3 linked regions of the Bombyx mori genome follow. The protein of the gene in region 1 purifies or fractionates together with the protein of each later gene. This does not show direct contact. Links are inferred from orthologs where the notes say so. Each region holds a gene or a part of one and is shown in the gene's direction. Other genes may lie near its edges. The genes, in order: U6 snRNA-associated Sm-like protein LSm6, squamous cell carcinoma antigen recognized by T-cells 3 and LSM1-like protein.

What was found.
Region 2: the proteins of U6 snRNA-associated Sm-like protein LSm6 (region 1) and squamous cell carcinoma antigen recognized by T-cells 3 purify together in Homo sapiens (affinity purification with mass spectrometry; 4 studies listed by BioGRID and IntAct, counting the BioPlex papers as one, with this or other methods). This does not show direct contact. The link is inferred for Bombyx mori from reciprocal best matches to the Homo sapiens genes LSM6 and SART3.
Region 3: the proteins of U6 snRNA-associated Sm-like protein LSm6 (region 1) and LSM1-like protein purify together in Homo sapiens (co-immunoprecipitation; 3 studies listed by BioGRID and IntAct, counting the BioPlex papers as one, with this or other methods). This does not show direct contact. The link is inferred for Bombyx mori from reciprocal best matches to the Homo sapiens genes LSM6 and LSM1.

Annotation. Positions count from the first base shown.
Region 1 is NC_085134.1:2,613,474-2,617,755, forward strand, and holds the start of U6 snRNA-associated Sm-like protein LSm6, read left to right. Parts: upstream 1-1,332; 5' UTR 1,333-3,970; coding exon 3,971-4,061; intron 4,062-4,282. Other genes in the region: GATA zinc finger domain-containing protein 1, read left to right, coding at 1-97, 336-522, 1,020-1,186. UniProt on the Homo sapiens protein: Plays a role in pre-mRNA splicing as component of the U4/U6-U5 tri-snRNP complex that is involved in spliceosome assembly, and as component of the precatalytic spliceosome (spliceosome B complex).
Region 2 is NC_085122.1:6,468,459-6,472,113, reverse strand, and holds part of squamous cell carcinoma antigen recognized by T-cells 3, read left to right. Parts: intron 1-581; coding exon 582-791; intron 792-1,128; coding exon 1,129-1,302; intron 1,303-2,039; coding exon 2,040-2,151; intron 2,152-2,650; coding exon 2,651-2,871; intron 2,872-3,611; coding exon 3,612-3,655. UniProt on the Homo sapiens protein: U6 snRNP-binding protein that functions as a recycling factor of the splicing machinery. Promotes the initial reassembly of U4 and U6 snRNPs following their ejection from the spliceosome during its maturation.
Region 3 is NC_085129.1:3,372,881-3,376,530, forward strand, and holds LSM1-like protein, read left to right. Parts: upstream 1-1,421; 5' UTR 1,422-1,494; coding exon 1,495-1,552; intron 1,553-1,630; coding exon 1,631-1,815; intron 1,816-2,889; coding exon 2,890-3,063; 3' UTR 3,064-3,134; downstream 3,135-3,650. Other genes in the region: uncharacterized protein LOC101746363, read right to left, coding at 39-122. UniProt on the Homo sapiens protein: Plays a role in the degradation of histone mRNAs, the only eukaryotic mRNAs that are not polyadenylated. Probably also part of an LSm subunits-containing complex involved in the general process of mRNA degradation.

The DNA of each region.
Region 1 (4,282 bases):
GCGGGGCAGAGGACGCAGGAGTCTATTCAAAAGGCAGCCATTGAAAGCACCAACAGCTACAGCGACTGTTGTTACAAGTGATTCAGTATTTTATCAGGTCTGTTCAATTATTTAATCCAATTAAAATCTGTAGTTAGATATACAACAGCTGTAGAAATATACCTTTTTTTTTATTTTTCAATAATCTTGAGGCTATATCGCATACTAATTATAGTTTAAAAACTGATTAGAGATTAATTTAATTTAAAAAACCCTAACTTATTATTCACAGTAAACATGAAAACTTGAAAAATTACCTCGGTTCTGCTTTGAATAGTCTGTGGTAATTTTTTCAGGGTATGTACATGCAAGTTGGTGATATTGTTTCGATGACTGACATTGATGGTGGCACATACTATGCCCAAATTAGAGGCTTCCTAACTGATGAGTACTGTGAGAAGAGTGCAGCTGTTACTTGGTTATTACCTACAAAAGCGAGCCCACCTCCAGAGAAATGTTTTGATCCTGCTACATATATCATTGGTATGAGCTTTTAATAATATTTTAATTAGAAATACAGATATTTGCAACAGGCAGAAGTAGGTGATTAAAGTATTTATTCAATATCTAAGGCATTTTGGGTGATTTTTTTCATTTTGTAAATTTAGTGCTTTAGATTTTCCACTTGTAATAATAGTGACTCATTAAATGTGTATTCGATCAAAGCTCGTGAATAGCAGAAAACGAAATAAGTCGCTTGACACGGCATTTCTAAAAAGCCTGCATTGTTTGATTTCACTTCCTCTCGTCTTGTTTCAATCTATATCATGTAATTTCATCCCAATATAATGAATATAATGAAATAAACCAACTTAATTAAATTCAGCTTAATTTTTTATTTTTATTTTGTAAATATGATTTTTACTAACTCAATACTGGCAACAATAGCATCACGAAAACTCAACTGCCATATAGCAAAAAAAAGAATAGTGTATATAAAAAATGTGACAGTTAAGGTTAATATTGCTGTAAATTTTCAGGCCCTGAAGAAGAGCTGCCTCGGAAACTGGAATACATGGAATTTGTGATGCATGCTCCATCTGATTACTACAAAGCGAGCAACAGTCCATACCCACTGACTGATAATGAACTGAATAATTATACTGGTTTTGTATGGACTTCGATGGAAGCTAAAGAGAGAACGTAGACTTTTATATTTAAGCAAAGTGAACATTTTGTTACAAAAAAATACTGTTTATGTTTAGTTTTATTACCCCATATACCCCGTAGTTAACATTTATTTAAATTTAGAGCACAATTTGAATTTCGATATCATTCACAGTTATAATTTTTTTTTTTTTTTTCCCTACCTAAGCTGATAGCCCTAGCGGCTGTCAGCGTAACCCTAACTTTAGTAGGTGAGCTCACGGGGCTCAAACCTGACGATGTTGCTAACACGAACCCTAGCAAGAGCCGTGCTTCGCAGAATCTACCACCGGATCGGAAACGCGACCCACTGAGAAGATCCGGCGAGAAACTCAGTGGGCTGTGTCTGAGAGTTAATTTACTCGTCGAGCCCTTCGTCGCAAGCGACGGGTTCGACGAGAACGGTGACCGGTGCTTTAAGTACCTAAAAGCACCGTTAGTGGATCAGGAGGATCCGAGATGACGTGTTTTGGGCGACGTCGACTGCTTTCCATTCTGTCCGCAGGATCGGGAATGTAGTTACCAGCGGCCACGATGAGAGGGTTCTCGTGTCGTGCCGCTTTATCGAAGTGGACAGTTATCAATCATTCAATAACACACATCATTCACTTTAATCATTCAAACCAACCAACATTTTTTTTCCTCCAGAAAATTTGGTATAAGTATTCATAGTAGTAAGTAGTAACTATGCTGTTTCCCTAGATCACTGATATTTTTTTGCCTATCTTTCAATGCCCTTGAAGAAGTGGAGCGTATGGAAGCCCAATTATTTTCAGTTAACCTCTTGGGTATTGCATTTTTACCCTACCAAGAAGTTGTTCAAACTTTGGAAAAAGGATAATAGTAAGTCTGTTGGCGCAACAACTTGTGTGTATGGTGGATGCAAAAACTTCCATCCATACCTCTTGTAGCTTAAAGACGGTCGATTGTACCATATGAGGTTGAGCGTTGTCATATAGGAGAAGTGTGGACAAGCGATTAAGAAGGGCAGGCTGGAGATACAAAAGCTTCTTCATCATTGTATCCTGTTCCTCACCATACACATCTGTAGTAATGATGCTATTTGGTAGGAAGCTGTGATGAATTATACCAGAACAAAGCCACTAAACAGTGAACATGACATATTTAGAGATAGATTTTCATTTGAGGCATTGCCTTTGTACTGAACCTCTAGTCCATGTAATGTCCGAGTGCAATAATTATTCTAGCGCCCTCTAGTAAGCGTGCAATCAAGTTGGACTAGGAACAAATCTAACTGCACCAGGAGGACGGGACGGCGCGTCGGCGGCTGCGGACTGCGATGCGGTCCGCATTTTCGTCGTCGCTGTCGTCGCCGAACATACTGTTGAAGAGCAACCCGGTCGGCGGTGTATCGCGTTCCGACCCGGCAGGCTGGTTCTGGCCCAGCGGGGTATCCCGGAACACCAGCGGCACCACCCGGGCGGCCTGGTAGGGCCGCCGTACCGCGGAGACCGACGTCGTTGGTCGTCGACTATCGCCTCGACGACCCGTCGGTCGGGCGTCCTCGGGGTGGCGCCGCGTGTCTGGTTGTAGTGTTGACCGCGGGAACCCCCCTACACTGAACGGGTTCTGACCCCGGACGGAGATCGGACGTCGGGTGTAAGAGTGCAGGGGAGTCGTTTGGTGGGTGGGCCCTAAAATCCTTGGGCCCGCGATCTGCTCTCAACACCTGCAGATCGCTGAGTCTCACATACCCCGCGCGCCCCCTAGGCGCGGGGACCTCGTAGGAGGTTCGGCCCCCGGCCCGAAAAAAAAAAAAAAAAAAAGGAACAAATCTAACTGATTCATTAAGAATGCAGAGGCCGGTGCACCCTAAAACCGCAGCGCGCATCTGCAACTCACACACACCTCGCACCATAGGTAAAGTCGCCTCTAGTTCTGAATCAGGGTGTGTTTGCAACCCGCTTGATGACCGCTTATGATTATAAACAATAATCCATTTTTCATCGCAAATGACCAGCTTGATGTGACCGCTTATGATTATAAACAACATAATTCATCGTAGATGACAATATGCTTCAAGATACCCTAATGGGGTGACGATCGTTCAGTTCGTGTGGGGGTGCCACATATCAAGTTTTGCCCACCAACTTGACCCAAATGAACTAATATTCTTCTGATCCTAACGTTGAAAGCTGCAAAATGTTTTAAATCAAAACTTCTGTGCTGAACCGTACAGGCCAATCGTGCGTTCTTTTGTAGTGTTCTTTCCGTACATACACATTATTTCTTAAATACCAAACATAATATGAGCCGTTTTGCGGCATTGCCACGGCGACGGAACTCTCCATATTCACTCTTTTCTATCGTGTACATATTGATGTAAGATACATTATATTACAAATGTAGTGAAAACAAAACACTAATCAACAAACAAATAACTGGATTTGAAAATAGAATGTCAAACTTCTCGGCATCCTCCAAAAAGTCCACTGAAAAAGTCTCAGTAAATGACCACCATTTTACTGAGATTATTTTTCATCTCATAACATCTCATTTCAATTCATTACATTTCATTTCATGCCATGTTTCATAGTAATCAACTTCATTTCATTTCATAATATTAATACAATTTTTCATTTTAAAAAATTCATTAAAATTAAAATAAGACGACCTAAAGGTATTAGATACCAAGTCATAAAAACCTTTAAAAAAAGATCAAAAGTAATCAAAACACCCGCTTTGACCAATTTGAAAATTTTTAAGTTTCATTTAATGTATTTCGTGTCTTCAATTTCATCAGAATAATAAATAAACACAAAAAATGAGTCGTAAGGAAGCTTTGTCCTCGTTTATACAGCAGATTCACGGTCGCCCAGTTGTCGTTAAATTAAACAGCGGCGTTGACTATAGAGGTTTGTTTTCCTTTCAAATTTTATTTATTAAGTTAGTAATAACAATCACTTCGTCTTTTAAGAACCACATAGCTCTAAAATACAATTTAAAAAAAATGATATCATCTGTTTAGTTTTATGAGATATAAAAATGGATTTGTTGGTTATGTTAAGCGAATTATTTTAATTTGCGATTGAGCTCTCAATAATGTGCGTTAAATTAATGAAATTTAAACATTAAA
Region 2 (3,655 bases), on another chromosome or scaffold:
GTCTTTAAAGTGGTTAGTTGCCTTCAATTAAGAAAAATAGTATTGTTCTTGATTGTGAATTTCAGACTGTATTTCCTTTGTGATTTTTCTTAGGTGGTTTGTGAAGTCTGCCGTTAAATTACGAATACTAGTGAATTCCCTTTGATTTTAATTTGAAAGTAATATTGTGAAAGTATGTAATAATATTGCGCGTCTTGTAGCTGTTGAGTCCTGTTCAGAAGTGAAGGTGGTTGTGTGTTTTGTCCGCGTCGCGGAGCTCGCCATTCCGCCGGTTTGCCACCCCCTCCCTCGCCGCGCTGCCTGCGTCTTTCCCGACTTTGCGAAAGAGGAGTTGATGCGTAAACAAGTATTATTATTCGCCAACAGATGTCGGCTAAAGTTGATCATTGAAAACACGAATAAAACAACATTTTCTGAAAATAAATCGTAGCTAAATCGATTTATCGCCCCCGAAATCCCCTGTATACTAAATTTTAAGAAAATCGTTGGAGCCGTTTTCGTGATTCAGATTATATATATACAAGAATTGCTCGTTTAAAGGTATAAGAAAGATATATTTTTTCTTCTGGCCACCAATAAAGCTCCTGTACGACCGGGCGACGTACGAATGTCTGCTCAATCCGGCCGTGTTCGAGTTGCTGGTCGAGTTCGCGAAGCACACCCAGGTGACGTCATCACGCGCGACGTACTGGCGCGTCCTCGAGCTGTGCACGCGGCGCTGTCCGCAGAAGCACACCTTTTGGACCCTCAAGATGCAGCAGGCTGAACACGAGGAGAAAGACTTCGACGAGGTTCGTCAAATAAATTGTAAACAATTGATCAATGATAGAATTTCCTTTTTTTTTGGAACGAAGTTCCTTATGGGACGATGCGGAGGGGTACCCTAACCAGGAAAAAACGTCCGTAACGTAAGATTTTTATTTGTAATGCACACAGTGTACGACTTAACTTTGTAATAACGTACAAATTAGTCATGCACACAGTGTACGACTTAGCTTTGTAATAACGTACTAAAAATAGCATTTTTTTATCATTCATTTCAATAAACAGATATATACCGTTTACATATAATATGAAATAAATTAGCTTGTTGACTAACACACAAAATTAATTTTTTTTGGAAATCAGGTGAAGTCGATCTTCGAGACTGCCTTATCGAAAGGTCTGGAATCTTACAAGGAGGCTGAAATGCTATGGCTGAACTATCTCGAGTACGTGCGCCGCAACACGAAGTTCAGTGACGACGATCAGATTGAGCGGTTGAGGCGCACATTCAGGCTGGCCTGGGACTCGCTTGCTGAGGTAACCAACGAAATCTGAATAGTTTGCACGTAGATAATTTTTGCACGTTTTTTTACTGGTGGTAGGACCTCTTGTGAGTCCGCGCGGGTGGGTGCGACCACTCTGCCTATTTCAGGCGTGAAGCAGTAATGCGATTCGGTTTGAAGGGTGGGGCAGCCGTTGTAACTATACTTGAGACCTTAGAACTTAACTCGAGGTGGGTGGCGCATTTACGTTGTAGATGTCTATGCGCTCCAGTAACACACCAGGTGGGCTGTGAGCTCGTCCACCAATCTAAGCAATAAAATAAAAGATAATTTAAATCTTCGCGTTTCATTCAAAAATTTGTGTTTCTACACAAGTGTCTGTTGTCTGTGGTAAAAGTTTGTGGATCTATTGTTGTTTTTCTTTTTTTTTTCTACTTTTCTACTTGTTTGCTTCGTATTTGAGAAACTACAGTTTTTATATGTTTGAATTTTATCATTTATTTTAAGCGTACTTAAATTTCAATTAGAACATTTTTGGAATTCTGTTCATTCAACACATTACTAATTTTCTCATACTCATTGAATTTATACAGTTGTGAGGCAACTCAATAAAAAATTGGCCTTTTAAATAGAGTTACGTATATTCGTTGTTCAATTATGTTTTTTTTTTTGAAGATTGAAGAGAACTTCCTTAATGCAGGCGTCCATAGCAAATGATCTCCTATTTTAGATATCCGTATTTTATTTAATTGAATTTTTGCGGTGTCATAGGCATGGGGCGATGAAGCGAATGATTGTGAGATACCATTGTATTGGGCAAGAATTGAATACAAATTCTTGAATTCACCAAAACGAGGGAAAGAGATCTTTGAAGAATTATTCAGTAAGTTGTTTATTTACAGAAATTGAACTGCGATAATGATTTTAATTTAAAATTACTTGGGCTTGCTTTTCATCTTCCTTTGCTTTTTTTCGCCTCAAAAAAAAAAGTGACATCTACATTTCAAGGGCTGTCTTGTATAACGAGCAGACGAGAAATTACATAATATTATATTATAAACTTATATTAAAAACATAGTAGCTACTGTAGTCCACAAACACAAAAAAATATCTATCTTACTGACTTTAAACATGATAGTCATTATTTTGTATACCAGTTATCCGACGTTCCATTGAAAAAGTATAATGTTCGGTTTATCCTAAGCTAGTAAATTATTCAAAAACGATAAATAGATATACTGGCCGGTAAAAATAGATTAAATTAACTCCATAAAACTAAGTATATGAAGAAAGCTTCAATTTTTATTTCAATCACCTCACTGAATAGACAATAACAATAAACCGATCGATAATAATAATTGATAATCAATTATCTTTTTTAGAATATGGCTTCAATAAAACCATGTCCAAGTATTGGGAAGCTTTGATACAATTAGAAAGTAGCCGGTCTCCTCCGCTGTCCGAGTTCAAGTTCCGGGATCTGCTGAGACGCGCGTTGAGGTCGGTCACCGACTACCCCCCGGCCATAGCGCGCCTCTGGACTGATTACGAACGAGACTACGGGAAGCTGGACACCAGTAAGGAGTGTCAAGAAACTTGTGAGGTTTGTCAATCTGTATGATTCGTAAAGTGGCAGAGTGTTTTTTTTTTTTCCTTCCTTAGCTGATGGTCTTGAGAGACCAGTGTCAACGGGCGGGTAGATGAGCTCACGGGGCTCAAACCTAACGTTGTTGCTGACACGAACCGTAGAAGAGCAGTGCTTCGCAAAATCTAAGACCAGATGAGGAGATCCGCAGAGAAACTCAGTGGGCTGTGTCTGTGGGTTAATTTACTCGACAATTGGTTTCCTTGCATCGATAATCCTCAATGCTGAGATTCATGGCCTCATGAGGCTTTCTTGGGATAATACACATGGTGGGCTCTCGCGTTATTCCACGGCAGTGCTTTTAGAAGAGATTTAGTTCTCAGTATTCGCCAGACATTCGGTGTTTACTATTTCACTGCGAAAAGGTCGAACTCCAACTCAGCTCTCCTCTTTTCTCATCCGAGTTTGGGATCGGCATTGGCAGAGTGATTTATAAGGTCGGAGAATTGAATGTTGCCTCAGCGTTACAAGGGATTTTGGAACAGTATTGTACAAATCCTTGTCTAGGAATAAGTTTAAAAAATCTAATTACAACTGAAGAAGCTATATTGATTGATTTACCATAGCAATGTTAACCTCAGAGGTCAGATCGGATTTGTGAAATTAAATCAAATGTTTTTTATTTATTTATTGAAAATAATTCAGACGATGTAGTTTCAGAATGAAAATTAAAAGTTATTTTAAAATTAATTTTTCAGTTAAAAATACGGGAGTGGAGGAAGAATTATCAAGCCTTGAAGGA
Region 3 (3,650 bases), on another chromosome or scaffold:
AGTTAATAAGATTATTAATGAATCAATTATTGTATTACCTTTTTTGGAAATTTGCTAAACACATTTCCACCTGCAGGGGGAAATAGTAAACAACCGGATTTGATCTCATCGTCTTGTTCCATTTTACGACTTATTACAAATACAGACAATAACTATATAAAAAGCATTTAAATACCACACACACTCTAACAGTCAGCGTACCATATCACTTCGCTTGATTTTATCCTCGGCAATAAATAATATTTCAAAAAAATAAAATAAAATTAATATCGTACGTGAAAGCCCGAGTTAGTTTGATTGATTGACAGTGACAGAACAGTAGTTGTAGTACTATTTTTCCAACTGGAAAGGCAGATGTATCATACCATACAGCCTATTCTTTTTTTTTTTTTTTAAATTTTAAAAGTGAAATGAAATGGAGTTGATTAATTGGGAACATCGAATATTAATCAAATAAAATGATATAGGATGAAATATAAACTCAGTAAAATGGTGGTTATTTACTGAGACTTTTTCAATAAACTTTTTGGAGGATCCCGAGAACCTACGTCCAGCGCCTTTGTTTCATTTTACAACTTTTGTGCACTTTCACCGATATTAAACAGTTAATAAATCACCGTTGTTACACATTTAAACATACGAACAAACGAAATACGAAATAGACAAAATAAAACAATTCACACAACTTCGCTCCTCGCGTTTCCGCCAAAAAGTCTAATAAGACAGTGACAAGTTTCTGATGGCAAAGCTTCTCTCATAGAGTTACTATTCTGGTACTTATTAACTCCATGGCTTCTCTAAACTACCTACATGTTGTGACATTGGAAACAAAAACATATAAACTGTCAAACTAAAGCTTTAAAAGGGTATTGATGGCCATTGAAAATAAATTTCACCACTTTATGTACAGTTAAAATATTTGTGCGGCATGAATAAATGTGGCGTGTAGCACAATGAAAGTTGCAATTATGAAACTTTTTGCCGATAAAGCTAAGTGTTAAGTTGTGTGAATCGATTTATTTTGTTGATTTAGTGGTACCTCAGGCTTAAACAATTAGTATCTGCAACAAATGTGAGAAAATGGAACATAAACGTTGGGCATGACTTCGATTATAAATTCTATAGAACTATCAATAATTCTTTACCATTTTATTGAGATTTTAAATTACTTTTATCATATATCCAACAATTTTTATTAACTCATTTTATTATCTCCTTTAGTTCATATCTTCTCATACAACTCCATGTCGTTATTAACATCTTTTTTTAAATATATTTCTATTCAGTTCTCGCGCAAAGCAATAGAATAATAATTTGCTTCGGGTCTGTCTTTTAAAGCACATGCTTGTATGAAATAGTTCCCTCTGCTTGTCTAATGAACGAATAAAAGATTGACAGAATTGACATCAAAATTAGCAAACTTTCGAAATTTCGCTAAAATTATAAATTTTACTTTATTTTATGAATAAAATTGAATAAATACTATCAATTAAAATGTCTAGTAATACAAACCCTTTAGCTGGGACGGCGCATCTTCTCGACGAATTAGACAGTAGGTGCCCACTATTCGAACCTGTGCTTCCTTGACTGTTTATTTGAATACAATGTAACCGATTATTATTTTGTAAAGAGAAACTAATGGTGTTGCTGCGTGACGGAAGGACGCTTATCGGGTATTTACGCTGCGTGGATCAATTCGCTAATCTAGTGCTCCACAAGACAATAGAACGAATACACGTTGGCAAAGAATACGGTGATATTCCGAGAGGCATTTTCATTGTTAGAGGAGAGAATGTTGTTCTACTTGGTGAAATAGTATGTATAGCTATTTTGATTTTTAAAATGTTATTAAAGTTGTAATACTTTTATTCATAAGACTAGCCATTTGGGACTATTACTACAGCTTATTTTTTCTGTCCTTAGCAGTCTTACCTTCCACTTATACCCAATTTAGTCCAAACAAATTTTTTAACCTGTCTTGCTGCCAACCTTATCAGCACAATGAATGGACAGCTTACGGAGGCAAAAGTGAATTGTAAACTTAACTACATTGAAACATATTCTAAAATATTTATTATGGAAAAATATTTATTTCTGTATTGCTAGCTCTAAACTCAGAGTTGTGTGAATATTTGAAATGTTACTATGTTTTAGCAATAACTGTAATTGCAATGCAATAGAGTTATTACCTATTATCATGCTTTTATTAACTTGCAATGTTGGGGTTGTATGTATATTGGTTAATATGTAATTTAATCTTTGAACATAATTTTCACTGACTTTAAGATGTCTGATTAATTAAAAAATGTGCACATGCATTATGGACTGATAAGAATACAATAATTTCATAACTTTGCTCTTAAATTTTTACTTAGTCTGACTAAATAGTTAGTTGGGTTTGCAATATAAGCATGTTTTTAGTTTAATTTTTAAATTACAGTTGTTTTTTCAATGAGACCAATATGTGACCTCTTGTCTCAAGCCCAGTAACTGGCAGTCATAGAGATATTTGTGTAACATAGTAACCACCTATTACGAAGTGAGCTGAGTTTATTTGCATATCAATAAAAAATAGAATAGTTATAGATACCAAAAGAACAGGGTGATATGGAAACAATAAGTACTTGTAATATTTATTGATGGTAACAATGAAGTTAGTGCCACTATTTACTGTATTAAAGTAAAACTGGTAAAGTTTTTGTGAAATAAGTACAACAATAATAGAACAATTTAAAATCAATAAAGACATAACCACTTGTTGATAACCAATGTCTAAGAATTTATTAAACATAATATTAAAATATGGTTTCATTTTGAACTTTAATTGCATATCAAAAGTAAAATAGATAACATTAAAAATACTATTGAATTAACATATTTCTTTTTTAGGACAAAGACAAAGAAGAAAATCTCCCTCTAACGGAAGTATCAGTAGATGAAATACTAGATGCTCAAAGAAGAGAACAAGATGCGAAGATTGATCAACAAAAATTGTTATCAAAAGCTTTAAAAGAAAGAGGGCTTAATTTACTAGCAGATCTTGGACACGATGATATGTTTTAAGTTTTCGGAAATATATTAAAATTTATATTTGTTAAAAGGCTGTAATAATGTGAACTAAAATTATTATAATATTGATTTTTTTTCTTTTCTGTGGCTTTTATTTATTTGTAATTTTACTAAATACATAAATTAATTTTATGTTAGTATAAAAAAAAAACTGTTTTGGTTACACAATCTGCAAATCTTAGCGAATTTAAATGATATTTTGCAAAAAGATAGGAATTTTTGTAACATAGTCCTTTACCTGGTTGAATGTTGAGAACGAAGTGTCAATTATTTTGTATAATGCCCTCTGGCAGGAAAGCATGACTGATTCCTTGCCAAAATATACAATCATGTCACAAAAATCACACTATAATTTTAGTGGACTGAGTGGATTGTATGTTAGAGGCAGTCACAATAAGAGGGCTATCGTGTCTTACCGCTTTTTCGTAGAAACATGTCCCCTAGTGAATGTTCTGAATTTACGACACAAACCCTGGTTTCCTTCTTTTCTCATCTACTTTTTTATTGTCACCCTACCTGACTAGTGCGTGCACTACTACTTTTGCTGGGAGACAGACTTCACTCAATAGATTCGAATCAAA